Drosophila melanogaster: one gene and its partner. The protein of the gene in region 2 purifies or fractionates together with the protein of the main gene of each other region. This does not show direct contact. Each region holds a gene or a part of one and is shown on either strand. Other genes may lie near its edges.

What was found.
Region 1: the proteins of atms (region 2) and scny purify together in Drosophila melanogaster (affinity purification with western blotting; one study listed by BioGRID). This does not show direct contact.

What each region holds. Positions count from the first base shown.
Region 1 is NT_037436.4:5,767,122-5,775,211, forward strand, and holds the start of scny (scrawny), read left to right. Parts: upstream 1-1,880; 5' UTR 1,881-2,481; coding exon 2,482-2,812; intron 2,813-4,043; exon of another isoform or gene 4,044-4,189; coding exon of another isoform or gene 4,190-4,250; exon of another isoform or gene 4,251-4,375; coding exon of another isoform or gene 4,376-4,496; coding exon 4,497-5,254; intron 5,255-5,311; coding exon 5,312-6,955; intron 6,956-7,292; coding exon of another isoform or gene 7,293-7,490; exon of another isoform or gene 7,491-7,892; intron 7,893-8,067; coding exon 8,068-8,090. Other genes in the region: Ppat-Dpck (bifunctional phosphopantetheine adenylyltransferase - Dephospho-CoA kinase), read right to left, coding at 15-1,012, 1,080-1,638. UniProt on the Drosophila melanogaster protein: Hydrolase that deubiquitinates polyubiquitinated target proteins including imd. Required for preventing the constitutive activation of the imd/NF-kappa-B (Imd) signaling cascade under unchalleneged conditions.
Region 2 is NT_033777.3:4,748,347-4,753,145, reverse strand, and holds the start of atms (antimeros), read right to left. Parts: upstream 3,112-4,799; 5' UTR 3,092-3,111; intron 2,738-3,091; exon of another isoform or gene 2,353-2,737; 5' UTR 2,260-2,352; exon of another isoform or gene 2,198-2,259; 5' UTR 2,070-2,197; exon of another isoform or gene 1,538-2,069; coding exon of another isoform or gene 556-1,537; intron 350-555; coding exon of another isoform or gene 181-349; intron 107-180; coding exon of another isoform or gene 1-106. Other genes in the region: CG44098 (uncharacterized protein), read left to right, coding at 1-106, 181-349, 556-1,537.

The sequences.
Region 1 (8,090 bases), on a different chromosome or scaffold from region 2:
AAATATCCATCGGGTTAAAGGCTGCTCTGGTAAGAGTCCAGTTCCTTGGTAAGCATTTTCCACGCACGCTCCGCCTGTTTCTGGGTGAATTCGTGATCCCATTGCGAACTGAATATCACATGCGACTTGGCCACGATCTCAGAATTGGGCACCTGACTGGCCAGTCGCTTTTGGGCCTCCACTTCGCTCAACTTGTTGCGCTCAATAATCCGCCGCACAGCCTCATCCGGTGGCACAATCATGGACCACACCTCATGGCAATTGGTCTCCCAGCCCGCTCGCAGCAGCACCGCTGCCTCCAGGACCACCACACGCGGCACGTCCGCCTGGGAACGCAGTGCATCCAGCCGCCTGTTAACCTCCGCAATAAGTTCCGGCCAGACAATGCCGTTGAGTGCTTGCAACTGCTTGGGATCGGCAAACACCAAGGGTCCCAGCTTGGACCGATCGATGCGACCATCGTCTGAAACAATACCCTGTCCGAAGTGCTGCACAATTCGGGTGTAGCACAACTGACCAGGTTCGTAAACATCGTGCGCCACCTTATCGCAGTCGATCACGTGGGCGCCCATGTTGGCCAATCTCTCGCCCATCTTGCTCTTGCCAGATGCGATGCCGCCAGTGAGTCCAATAATGTAAGGGCGCGGCGGGAGCTGTGGTCGTGGCTCCGGCCTTCTCCAGCGGGTTCCCAGCAGATCGATGCGTGTGTTACTCGAGCTGACCTTGGTCTCGTGGATGCCATCATGCACGTTGCTTTCAACAATGTCAATCACAAAGATCTCCAGCTCGCGCAGTTGCTTAGCGGAGCGTACCTCGTTGACCTTCTGCCCTCCTCGCAACGTCTCCGCACTGACCACAATCATGTCCAGGTCAGGATCCACTTGCGTGGGACCAAAGGGATCATCGATGGGCACAATTTCGTACTGCAGCGTATCATCTATGTCCACCAGGAACTCCCTTAGCCGGGCGATGCGCTCTTCCACGGGCAAAATCAAGTCCGGCAGCGTCTTTCCTGCAGACAGCGATAAGAATGGTCGTTAAGATAAGCGTTTTATTTTGCCAATTCATGCCCGTCTTACCCTTCGTCATGGCGGAGGTGGTTACGCCCACAACCAAACGCTTGCAGGTGCGCAGTACAGCCTGGGTGAGGAATATCTTGTGTCCCAGATGGATGCGATCGAATGTTCCGCCCAGGACAACCGAGGGATACACCTTAGGCGGCTGGGTGTCATCCTGCTGGGCACTTAAATCCGAGATGACCGAGTCATCCAGGAAGATTGTTGGCTTGCTGATGTTAAGATCCGCGCGAAGCCTGTCGCACAGCTCCGGATGATGTGCATCCGAGAAGATTAGGTCGACGGGCTGGCGCAACTTCAGGGATCCATTGGCACCTGGTCGTAGGGGAGAGACAAGGACGCGAAGGTCCAACTGCTTGCCCACATAGCTGCTGCTGTTGGCGTACAGCTGCGAGATTAGACGACCCCAAACCGGAGGCGGTGGAACTGGTGACGTCGTGGACGTTGACCCCGCCACATTTAGGTGGATGTACAGTGAATTCACGTACTTCTCGATGGCTCGCAGGGATTTGCCAAGGTGCTTGATGTTGGACACCACCAGGAGACCTGTGGATGAAGCCATTCTGCTCGATTGATTGCGACTAATTATGAAGGCTAGCTCAACAATTGCATCAACATTGTGCCGATGGGTTGTCGTTCCCAATCACACTTATCGATATGTGCTGATAAGGTGTAAAAATACCGTTATAAAAATTAAATTTATAACTTGAATAGTAGGCATAAATAAAAAATGTCGCTGCAAGCCTTTCAATAAGATATTGCTTACATATTCAAGGTAACAAATGTCTTATTAAATTTAAACCAATTTTTTATTGTTAAGAAAACATCGAAATACATTTTTGTAAATATCGTGAAATGCTTTAGGACATTTCGAGAGGCCTATCGCGTCACTTGGCCACTCGCGAGTTGGCATCCCCAAATGACGAAAATGAAGCGAAAAGAGAATCCGCAGTCGGAAGAAACACGAGGGAAGGAATTGCCATTATTTTCGAAAGCAGACTTTTCGTTCTAAAATGCCTGGCCGCGCACGAAATTGAAACAGATCAATTTGTGAGCGAACGTTTCTTAATCGTAATGCTCAGTAGGCCAACAGATCGAGATCGCAGCGCGAAAAAGCCAGAAAAAGAAGAGTGCTCCCGAGTGCGTTAGTGTGCGTGTGTCGGTGTCGCAGTCGGTGTGTGAAACAAGAAGTGTTCGAGAGAGGGGCGAGGAGAAAAGTGAGCGTAGAGCAGTAGGAGAGTTTTGAAGGACGTGTGGGCTGTGCAGAAGGATCTCTAGTATCTGCTTTGGATCGCACGCCCATGTGCATTAGCTAACTGGGTGGCGAAAACCACCAACACACGCCACACCACGCCCCTCACACCCGTTCAAAATTCCACCGCAAATCCCCAGCCGGAGCATCGCCATGCCCGTTTCGATGGCCGTATGCGAAACGGCGAATGTCGTCAACGCAGCGCTGCGCGAATCCCTTGGCGGCAACTCCTCCGCCGGCTCGTCGACTGACCAGGCCAAGAGCGGCGAGGACACCAACGGCAGCCTGCAAAATCACATCGTGGCCAATGCCAAACGCATCCTGATGGCCAAAATCGAATACGAGGAGGTGCCCAACTACCACGAATCGGTGCTGGAGAACCTCAAGTCCAAATATATTGTCATCAAGCCGGGAAATCCAGGCGCCATCAATGGCTTTAGTGGCAAAAACAATACAGGCAAACTTGTGGGCGCAAATGGACATGGTGAGTACACTGTGTAAAGATACAACAAAATGTAAAATCCAAAAGTTGCTTGCAAAAGTGGCTTTTTCCGTCTGCGCCTTCGTCTGTGTTTCTTCTTTGTGTGGCAATTTTTGCGCAATTTTCCATGTGCTATATCTTCATATTATATATATAAGATGTATATATACTTAAATGTATTTATGTATCGTCCCGTTTGTTTTTGCCAAATCTTTTGGGAATATCCCTCCACAAATCACGTGTGATGTTTTTCCGCAAACATATTTTTTTTATTGCTCCGCCTGCATTTTGTCGGCAGTGCAGTCGACGTCGGCAGCGCAGCATACCTGTACTTTTTAGGCGCTTCTGTATGTGAGTGCGTGCGTGTGTGTCCGTGTGTGACGGCGTTTTTGGGTGGTGTACGTGTAAACAGAATGCAAAGGAATACGCGGAAAAAGCAAAACAAGTACAACGCCGTAAAGAGTAAGCTGGAAAAGTGACAGCAGCAGCAGCAACAACAGAGCCGCCTCTTCCAAACTTCTGATTCACAGAAGTTGTGGCGGAAAAAAACGTGCTGTATTTCCAGCGGCAAATGAAAGAAGGAAAAAAAGACAAAAAGCACGAGGGCTCCCCTCCGTAGTTCCGTCTCTTTCCCCCGCACATGGCCAGCCCCAGCGGTGCTTTTATTGGCTTTGCTTTATTTTTTTAGATGCGGTAAATGCGCCGCAATCTGCTTTTGCGTGATAAAAAGAGCACAAACAAAGGCCAGACTCGCAGAAGTGATTCACACAGAGCAGGAAGTGGACACAAAGCTCAGCACCAGGAGCTGTTACACGATGTTTCGACTTTTCTTTTCTTTTCTTTTTTTTGGCCTGGTCAATGCCTCGAACACAGTTACAAAGACAATAAAAGGGGGGAGCATTGGGCCTACAACAACCACTGTTAGGTCGCGCCAAAAATTCAGTTGGCAACACTGCCGCCCCAACCCCCTACGCCAGAACGAGACCACTGTATTCGTCGGCAGCAGACACTTGGACTGCTTCACCACTCGCCATCCCTCTCATTCGCTTGCTGTTATCAGTTTAAATTTCTTCTTCTGCCAGTCGCCATCCCGCTCACACGCTAGCTGTTATCAAAGATACAATAGTGCTGGGTAATATCTGAGATATGTGTACCAGGATAAGTACCTCGATTGGTACACTTTCCCAAACAAAACTGCAAGATACATATTCAGGGTACATATGAAATTACGATGCTGTGAAAATATTTTCAGATAAAATCTGGTGATATCACATTCTGTAACGATGTTCAAAGAATTGTATTTCAAAATCTAGTACTGGAAATTTTTTTCGGCGTATACTTTGTGTTCAAGTTTCTTTGTTCAATAGAATAGCTATCTTAATGCTGCACAGTCCGGTGCCTAGGTACAACAAATGTGTACCCTTTCCAACACTGCGAACAGGTGATGGAAGCGCGATTGTGTGTCAGCAGTTTCCACAGCGAGCACTGCTCGTTTTATTTATATTTCATAGCAGCGCGGATCAAGTGACTTAATCTGCAGAAGGGAATTCTTCCAATAAATGCATTATGACTGTGATAATGGTGGACGGGTTCGCCCTGTGGCTGCTCTACAAGCTGTTCCTGTCTCCCTGCTGCCTTCTCCTGTGGCACGTGCTTAAACTGTCTACCGTCCTCTTTACCTTTGCAGACAATAACGGCGCCCGCAAGCAAGCGGAGCACCCGAACAATCAGTCGCACCACATCAACCACCACAATCATCAGCATCCGACAAGCAATCCCAATGAGCTGCCCAAGCCGAAGAGGGTCCTCTATCCGCGGGAGAACATACGCATTGGCTGGAAGCAGTCGGAGCGCAAATGGCAGGTGGGCACGGGCATGATCAATGTGGGCAACACCTGCTACCTCAACTCAACGCTTCAGGCGCTCCTGCACATACCCGCCCTGGCCAATTGGCTCGTTTCGGAGCAGGCGCATCTGGCTGACTGCAATGTGGCCGAACCTGGCAGCGGTTGCATCATTTGCGCCATGACCAAAACACTTTTGGCCACCCAAAGCAATCAGTCGGCCGTCAGACCCTTCCTCATCTACTCGAAGCTAAAGCAGATCTGCAAACACATGGTCGTTGGTCGCCAAGAGGATGCGCACGAGTTCCTGCGCTTCCTGGTCGAGGCCATGGAGCGGGCGTATTTGATGCGGTTTCGTAACTACAAAGAGCTGGATCAGTTGGTTAAGGAGACCACGCCGCTGGGACAGATCTTTGGCGGCTATCTGCGCAGCGAGGTGCGCTGTCTGAGCTGCAACCATGTGTCCATTACGTTTCAGCACTTCCAGGATCTGTTGCTCGACATCCGCAAGGCAGACTCCTTGGAGGATGCTTTCGAGGGACACTTTTCTCGCGAACGGCTAGAGGATATGGGCTACAAGTGCGAGGGATGCAAGAAGAAGGTAGGTCTTTGTGACCTTTGTTCTGTAGTTCATTTTATTTAAACGTATCGCTTGCAGGTATCTGCCACAAAGCAATTCTCTTTGGAGCGTGCCCCAATCACGCTTTGTATACAGCTGAAGCGATTCTCCATGATCGGCAACAAACTGACCAAGCAGATTTCCTTCAAGTCACGCATAGATTTGAGCAAATACGCAGCCCGTTCACAAGCAGCTCAGGCTCAACCGCTCACCTATCGCCTGGTGTCGATGGTCACTCACTTGGGGGCGTCCCAGCACTGCGGTCACTACACGGCCATTGGCTCCACGGATACGGGCAGCTTTTACAACTTCGACGACAGCTACGTGCGGCCAATCGCAATGCACAGTGTGTGCAACACAAATGCCTATATAATGTTTTTCGAACTGGACCTCTCACAGGCTGCCAGTCCGGCGGCCAACAGGCCCAATGGAGTGCGTTTGACCAACGGACACAGCACAACGCCAGTGCCGGCGGCGACTGTGTCTTCGCCTTCACCAACGCGTTTCATTGGTCCTCAACTGCCGGCGGGTGGAGCAAACGGTTACACTAATGGAAATGCCCAGAAAACCGCCATCCAGTTCAAGCAACAAAACCAGCAAAGTCCACAGAACGGACTCCAGCTGGGTACCGGAAAGTTTCAGGACACTGCGAAGCCTCCACTGGTTGGCGCTCACGCTAAAGGCGAAGCTACTTCAGCTCCCACTGCAAATGGTAACAAAAGTTCCTCCCCAAGCAGCAACAGCAGCAGCAACCATAAATCAATAAACCAGCAACAATATCTGCCAATTTCCTCGGATGATGAAGACATCGAGGATGAGATGAAGCCCAGACCAACGACAGCCCAGCTACCGAGCATGCCCAATATGACGGAGAATCATACGGAGCCTAAGGCAAAGTCTCCTGTAAAGATTCAAGTAAAGACTCCCGTCAAAACGCCACTGAAAAGTCTTGTGCCCTACGAATCAGCATCTGAGGAGGAGGAGGCGCCTCTACCGAATCCCCGCAAGCGTCCAAGTGGGGAGGATTCTAGCGAGTCGGACCAAGAGTCTGGCCAGACCAATGGTCACAGTAAGACCAATGGCAGCCACACCAACGGCTCAGCCTCGTCATCGGTTCACGTTAACAACAGCAAACAAAAGACTGATGCCATAGACGAGATATTCAAGAGCCTAAAAAAGTCCGCAGACAGTGATGAGGACGACGATGAGGAGGAGCCCAGCATTCAGCTAACGAATGGCTGGCACCCACAGAAGCAATCACAGTCTCAAAGCAAAGCACCACCATCGCCAAAGACGCCACCCTCGCCAGCGGTCATCAAATCGAAAACGGGTATCTGGAAAGTTACGCGTAACGATGAGGTCGATGCCATCGAAGATGATGTTGACGTCGTGGTGGTGGAGGGATCGCCGGTGAAAATTCCGACGCCGAACAAGAACCATCGCAATCCCTTCTCGAGTAGCAAGCCCTCCACGGACTCGCCCGCAACGCCAGGCGCCAAGCGCCAAAAGTTGCTCAACGGCAGTGCGCTCAAGTCGCACCAGCAGCCAAGGGTGGGCAATGGCTACCAGAGCAATGCCACCTCGAATGGGAGCACCATCAATGAGCTGCTGAAGCAATCGTATCGTGGATACGGCTCCCCCGTGCTCAGTTGGAATGGCAAGCCCGCGGAGCTCGAAAAGGAGGTGAGTTTAGAGAGGCATTCACCTTGAAGCGCTTATCTATCCCTTGTGACCATGTCACTAACGTAGATACTAAATCTATGCATGGTTAACACTTTCTTTGGGTCTGTGCTTCAAAAATAACAAGTTGCGGGCTTAATACGATGAAAATGTACATAAATTGGTTCTCTTTTTGCGGGTTTAACTAATTCTTTATTATTTAACTGGCTCTTTGGTCTTCTTTTTTGTTTTCTATGTCGTTCGCTTAGCTGTTGCATAAAATGCAATTCGATTGAGTTGATTTACTAAACGAACTTGTTTGTAATTTGCATTTGTTTCCACATTATCCCCATTCATTTAGACTTTTGAGTTGGTTTGTGCGAAACGGATAGCTGGTCACGGCAGTGTGGAAGGCAGCGATATCGTCGAGGGCTCGGTTGCAGTCGACGCGGCAGTGACTAGTGGCAGTGACAGTAAAGATGTGGTCGTAATTGCAGTGGCGGTAACAGACACGACCGCTGACGCACCCGATCCGGATCGTCTCACGGACGGCCGGTAGGAGGTAGAAGCGTCGGCGGCAGAGGCGACGCTTCTTCTTTTTCCCCACTAAGCACATACCACACAAAACAAATACAAATAATACGATTACCCCGAATAGTCTGTGATGGCTGCGTTGCTGGTATCCGTTCCCAACCGGGCGGTCACCACAACGCGTCCTCCGTTCAGCGAGCGTGAAAAGTGTAGAGAGAGTTGCAAAAGTCATTGCGGGAGAGAGTGACTGCACCGGAGCCTAGGTAATTCACCCGATGACTCCGCATCCGTTTTCCCGTGCAATGAAGCTTATGATTTGACTGCTGGCCGGCACGTTGTTTCTTTCATTTCAACCGCCTGATACGCCATAAATTCAACCGTTGTGCCGTTACCGTTTTGCCTGATAACCTGTTACAGTGAACCGTGAACCGTAAGCCACTCACCCATTTCGAATACAATGTGCATATTCCCAGTGCTTGTTCGCGAGCGACCGTACTCATCTGCATAAGCTCCATTAACTAGCGCATGCGTCAGCCAGCCAGCCAAGCCTCCCCATTCACAAGGTCCGAACTCTAGCCTAATGCTTGATATTCTGTTTTCCGTAGCTACTGGTGGATGCGCGTGAGCA
Region 2 (4,799 bases):
TGTGGTAACCTCACGGGGCACGTGGCCTCCTACGAGCTCCACGTGTTCTTCCGGTGCCTCTCCGCCGTTTGCTGTGCCCAGATGTACACGGCCGGAGGCCAAATCAGTAAGTGGCAAGACTTAGTTTAAATGTAAATGGATATGTCTAATGAATTTTTAATTATTTGCTCCTTACTACAGTGGCCGACATAACGGGGGGAAAGTACCGAACTTGCGTCTCCACACTCTTTGAGCAGTTCTGGTCTATTGGGGTAATGATGTTGCCCGGAGTTGCCAGCTTCTGGTCCAGCTGGTCCCACCTCTACATGGCCATCTCGTGGCCAACTGTGATACTAATCTATCTGTGGCAGTGAGTAATCAAAAACAGATATTGATAGCAAACTCATAGAGTTAGAGGGTTATCTAGATTCGCATAAGTAACGTATTATAAGTAACCCTCATAAAATACATTTATTATCAGGATTACTAGCCCAAAAAGGAACTGCTGTGCAGCATTCATGTGTACCAACATTTTGTGGCCCATACTGACACTTGCGTCTCGCATCCCTTTTACAGGTGGATTCCCGACTCGCCGAGATGGCTTATCGCCCGCGGACGCACACAGGACGCCAAGAAGATCTTGCTGGAGTGCGTGGAGGTGAATGGGACGGGCTACAACCTACCGCACGACATCGACCAGCAGCTGGAGCTGCAGGCGCAGACCGCCATGGACGCTCCTCCGCCGAGTGGCTGGTGGTCGATGTGGAAGGGGGAGCGAGCGGTGCGACACATTGTGTGTGTGCACCTGGCCTGGTCGCTGTACATTGTGGTCTATTACGGCATGCTGCTCAACATCCGCTCCTTCAGTCGCGACCACCTGTACATTAACACCTTTTTCGCGGGCTTCAGCGAGATGATGGGCACTTTCTTCGGGCTCTTCCTGATTCTGAAAACCACCCGCAAGTGGCTGTGGACGGGACTCTTTAACATCGTGGCAGGATGCATTGCCTACTGCGGCTGGCTGGTCCCGAAGCCCAGCGTAATTGGGCTGGATCCGAATGTAGCCCTGCTGATGTGCTCTGCCATGGTCTCGAAGATGGCCATTTCCACTACGCTCAGTATACTGACTACCTGCACGGTGGAGCTGGTTTCCGATGACAAGAAGAAGATCACTTCCTTCTCCACGATTTGCTGGGCCCGTTTCTGGCTGCTGGGAGCGCCCTTTATTGGATCCACAGTGGTCTTCGGCCAACTCATTCCCCAGACGGCCTTCGCATCTCTGGCCATTCTCGGTGGCCTGTGCACCTCCCTGATCAGCAGTCCCAGGACCCATCCCATCTCAAGACCCTCCTCGCCTGCTGCACAGGGAACCCAAAACATCACCTCGCAGTTCACCATCATTGACGGCATGGACAACAAGGGGTACAGCCCCACCTCGAAGACCATCCACTCGAACAGCACTATTTTAAAACTAAACACGCCGCAATCGAATCTACCTCCACAACTGATGCCCGGCATTTGGACGACCAAGATAACCGAGGATGGCCCACCCATGTGAACTGCCTTCAGAAAGCGTGCGTTGACAAATTAGCGGTGTGTTTGGACTTAAGATATAGAAATTTTTCTATAGCCCAGGAGTGGAGCCTCTATGATAATAAATCATATGCTGAGGGAAAGAAGCAGATGTTCAAAAAGTTAAGATATTGCTAGATTCACAGCTATGGCCGCGATCTGGTTCACTTTGGTGGTGCTGTGACTTGTAAACTATAGTCTATACAATTTGTTAGCGGTATATACTATGCGCCCGCTTTATAAGTTTATGGGCGCACTTATTGTAAGACACATTAGCTATCCTTTTTAAGAGGAAGAGTCAATATATTACTAGAATTTTCGCACACTTTTGTAGTACGTACATCAACTTCAACCTAAATCGGAGTGCTCAAGTGAGAAAGTCTCGCGCACTTGAAAACAAAATTACCTTAGGCAACACTTAAGCTAAAGCTGTGGAATAGAATCCTCGAGCAAATTATTTTAAATGGATAAATAAGCTCGCCGACAAAACCCAAACCCATACATATATTTTCCATTACCTTTAATTTTAGGGATTAGTTTATTTAGGCTATCCTCAGAAGACCTTAAATCATTCAAGTCTGGGATAAGCTTCAGCGCAGCCATAATTAGTAGTCTCATAAGAAAGTAAGTCAGATGTGGAGCACACCTTGAGAAAAAGGAGAAAGCCCAGTATTAAGCAGTCACTATTGAACCAAATCAAAAACGTACCGAATCGAACCTCACTGCACAGACAAACCATCTTTAAATGGTGATCCTTCTAAAGGCCTGTGGTTCCACATTAAGTGATTGTGTTGTAAACACCTGGAGAGAATTTCATGAAAAGACATACGAGTAGTTACACAATAATTATATATTATGGACAACTTTTATTAATTACCTTAATCTAATAATACTAATTGATTAGAACAACAATAATATTAACCTACACATTGAATAATTTACATTCGTTACGTATTGTAATTATCAATTACCAAGCTAATTTAAAATAAAACAATTAGTAGTTTTCAGGCTCTACATAAATACACAAGGCATAAATTACAATACATAATATTTTTAAAGTTGCATCACCTAGTGAATACGCTTAGCAACTTGTTGAATGTTATCATATATTGGTTACTACATAAAAGGAAGTGTTATACATGGCAAAAGAGCAATATTTTTCTAATAAAGCATCATCATAAAAACGAATTGATTTATTTTTTATCGTTGTTTGTTTTTTGTTTAATTAACGAGGGATATCTGTTATATCGATAGAAATTGAAAAAAAATATATATTAAAACAAAAAGAAGTTTTAAATTTGTAGAAGTGTGGGCGGTTTGTGGGCGTCAGAAGGGGCGTTGCTTTTGTTGGTAAATCGGTACAAATTTACAAAACCAATAAGAAAATCAAAAACATTTCCTAAAAGTGTGGGCATAGCAATCTTTGGCAGTTTGTGGGCGTGGCAAGAAGTGTTCTGGCAAATCGATAGGACCGAAGTTTGGAACCTTCATGGCCAATCTCAACTTTCTAGCTCTTATACATGCGTACTAATGTACATACATAGTTCCTGAGATCTCGAAGTTCATACGGACATGGACGGACCGATCCTGGTTAAGAATAAATAAATACTTGTTCACTATTAGTTAAATTTCCAAATATATAACTTTTCGGAATCCCGAACGGTTGAGTCGTTGAGTTACGCGGTTGCATTACAATTCTCAGAAGGCAACAAAATAGGGTGACGGTGTTGCCAGCCCTAATAAAGAGAAACATAATCGTCGAGTAGAAGTGCTCTCGTTTATGGATTTAAGAGAATGAAGTGCCTAGTTTTATACTTTAATATTAAATATTTGGACTTTCTGCGCTAATAATACGGCAGACTCCGAAAATATGTACAATACGATGCATATAAATCGTTGTTATATAAGGTCACTTTCCGAAATATATTCCTATAAGTTATTCTTTATAAAAATAATATCAAACAACAACACATCTTAACTTTATTGTGATAAAAGATGATTTTACATTTCACTACATAAAAAAATTGAGCAGTCGTCACTACTTCAATACAACATATCCAATATCAATATTTTACTGCAGCGTGTCAAATGTTTGTTTAAAAAAGCGTATTAACTGTGTCAAATGTAAAATTTTTTTTGGCACAATAATGTACTTGAAAACTTTTATATGCGATCTACCTGTGTTATACTTTAAACTTTTGACTTGTACTCTTCAAGTATCGTGTGCTAGAAATATAAAATGCAGTATTATAATACTGTGTATATCTACATAAGTAGGTAGCAAACATTATATTCTCGGTGACAAAAGTGATTATGGTAATAATACCAAAGCTACTGTTCCCTTTTTAATTCCAATTCTTTATTTTGACCGACTTTCATTTACTTGAAAATTCGTTGAAAAAAAAAATAAAGAAAAACTTGGATTTTATTTAACCATTCATAGATCGAAATATTGTGTAAGTGCAATTAAATAATGTTATTAATAACATGCTAGGTAACATTTGCCCTCTGGTATTTTTTCCCTGCTGGCAATTTGGCCACACTGTCACTTATGCTTCTTCAAATTGTAGCGGCATTTTCGCCAAAGCAACGTTGGAAATTCGCGTCACCAATTTCATATTGCGATAAATAAGAGTTTTATCCGAAAACGTATAGCTTAACTGTGTCATCGGCCTGTAGAAGAGCGCTGCCTGCCGGGATACACATATGCCATGGAATTCGACGACGCAGAAAATGGCCTAGGAATGGGATTTGGTGGTCGCGGCGTTCTGCGGGAGATCAACAAAAACGATGGCGGCATTAAGGTAAGTTAATAGCTGGACTTGGAGGCGTGCTCCGTCCGCGATGTACCAATGCAGCCACTTTCGGCAGAGGCATAATTCAACTCACACGTCTACAGGTACATATGTGTGTGTTCGGTTATGTACTTTGTACATATGTGTGGGTATGCTGCGTCGCAGGCTGTTCTGCTATTTTCTTTATTCGCAATTGTTCATCGTAAATACATATGTACATATAAATTTCCATTATTCGCTGTTCCTATTAGCTCTGAGGCAGCTGTCGCGAACGAGAGTTCTCTAGTTGATCGGTGTCCGCCGGACATTGTCCATCCCAGGTGACCAGTTTCCCCGATCTGCCATAGCCATAGGAGAATGGGCAATAAGCCGGGCAAGACACGGAAACCGAGGGCCTTGTCCGGGAAAATTACCATAAAGGCGGACGACGGACGAGGGAATCGGGTATGCCAA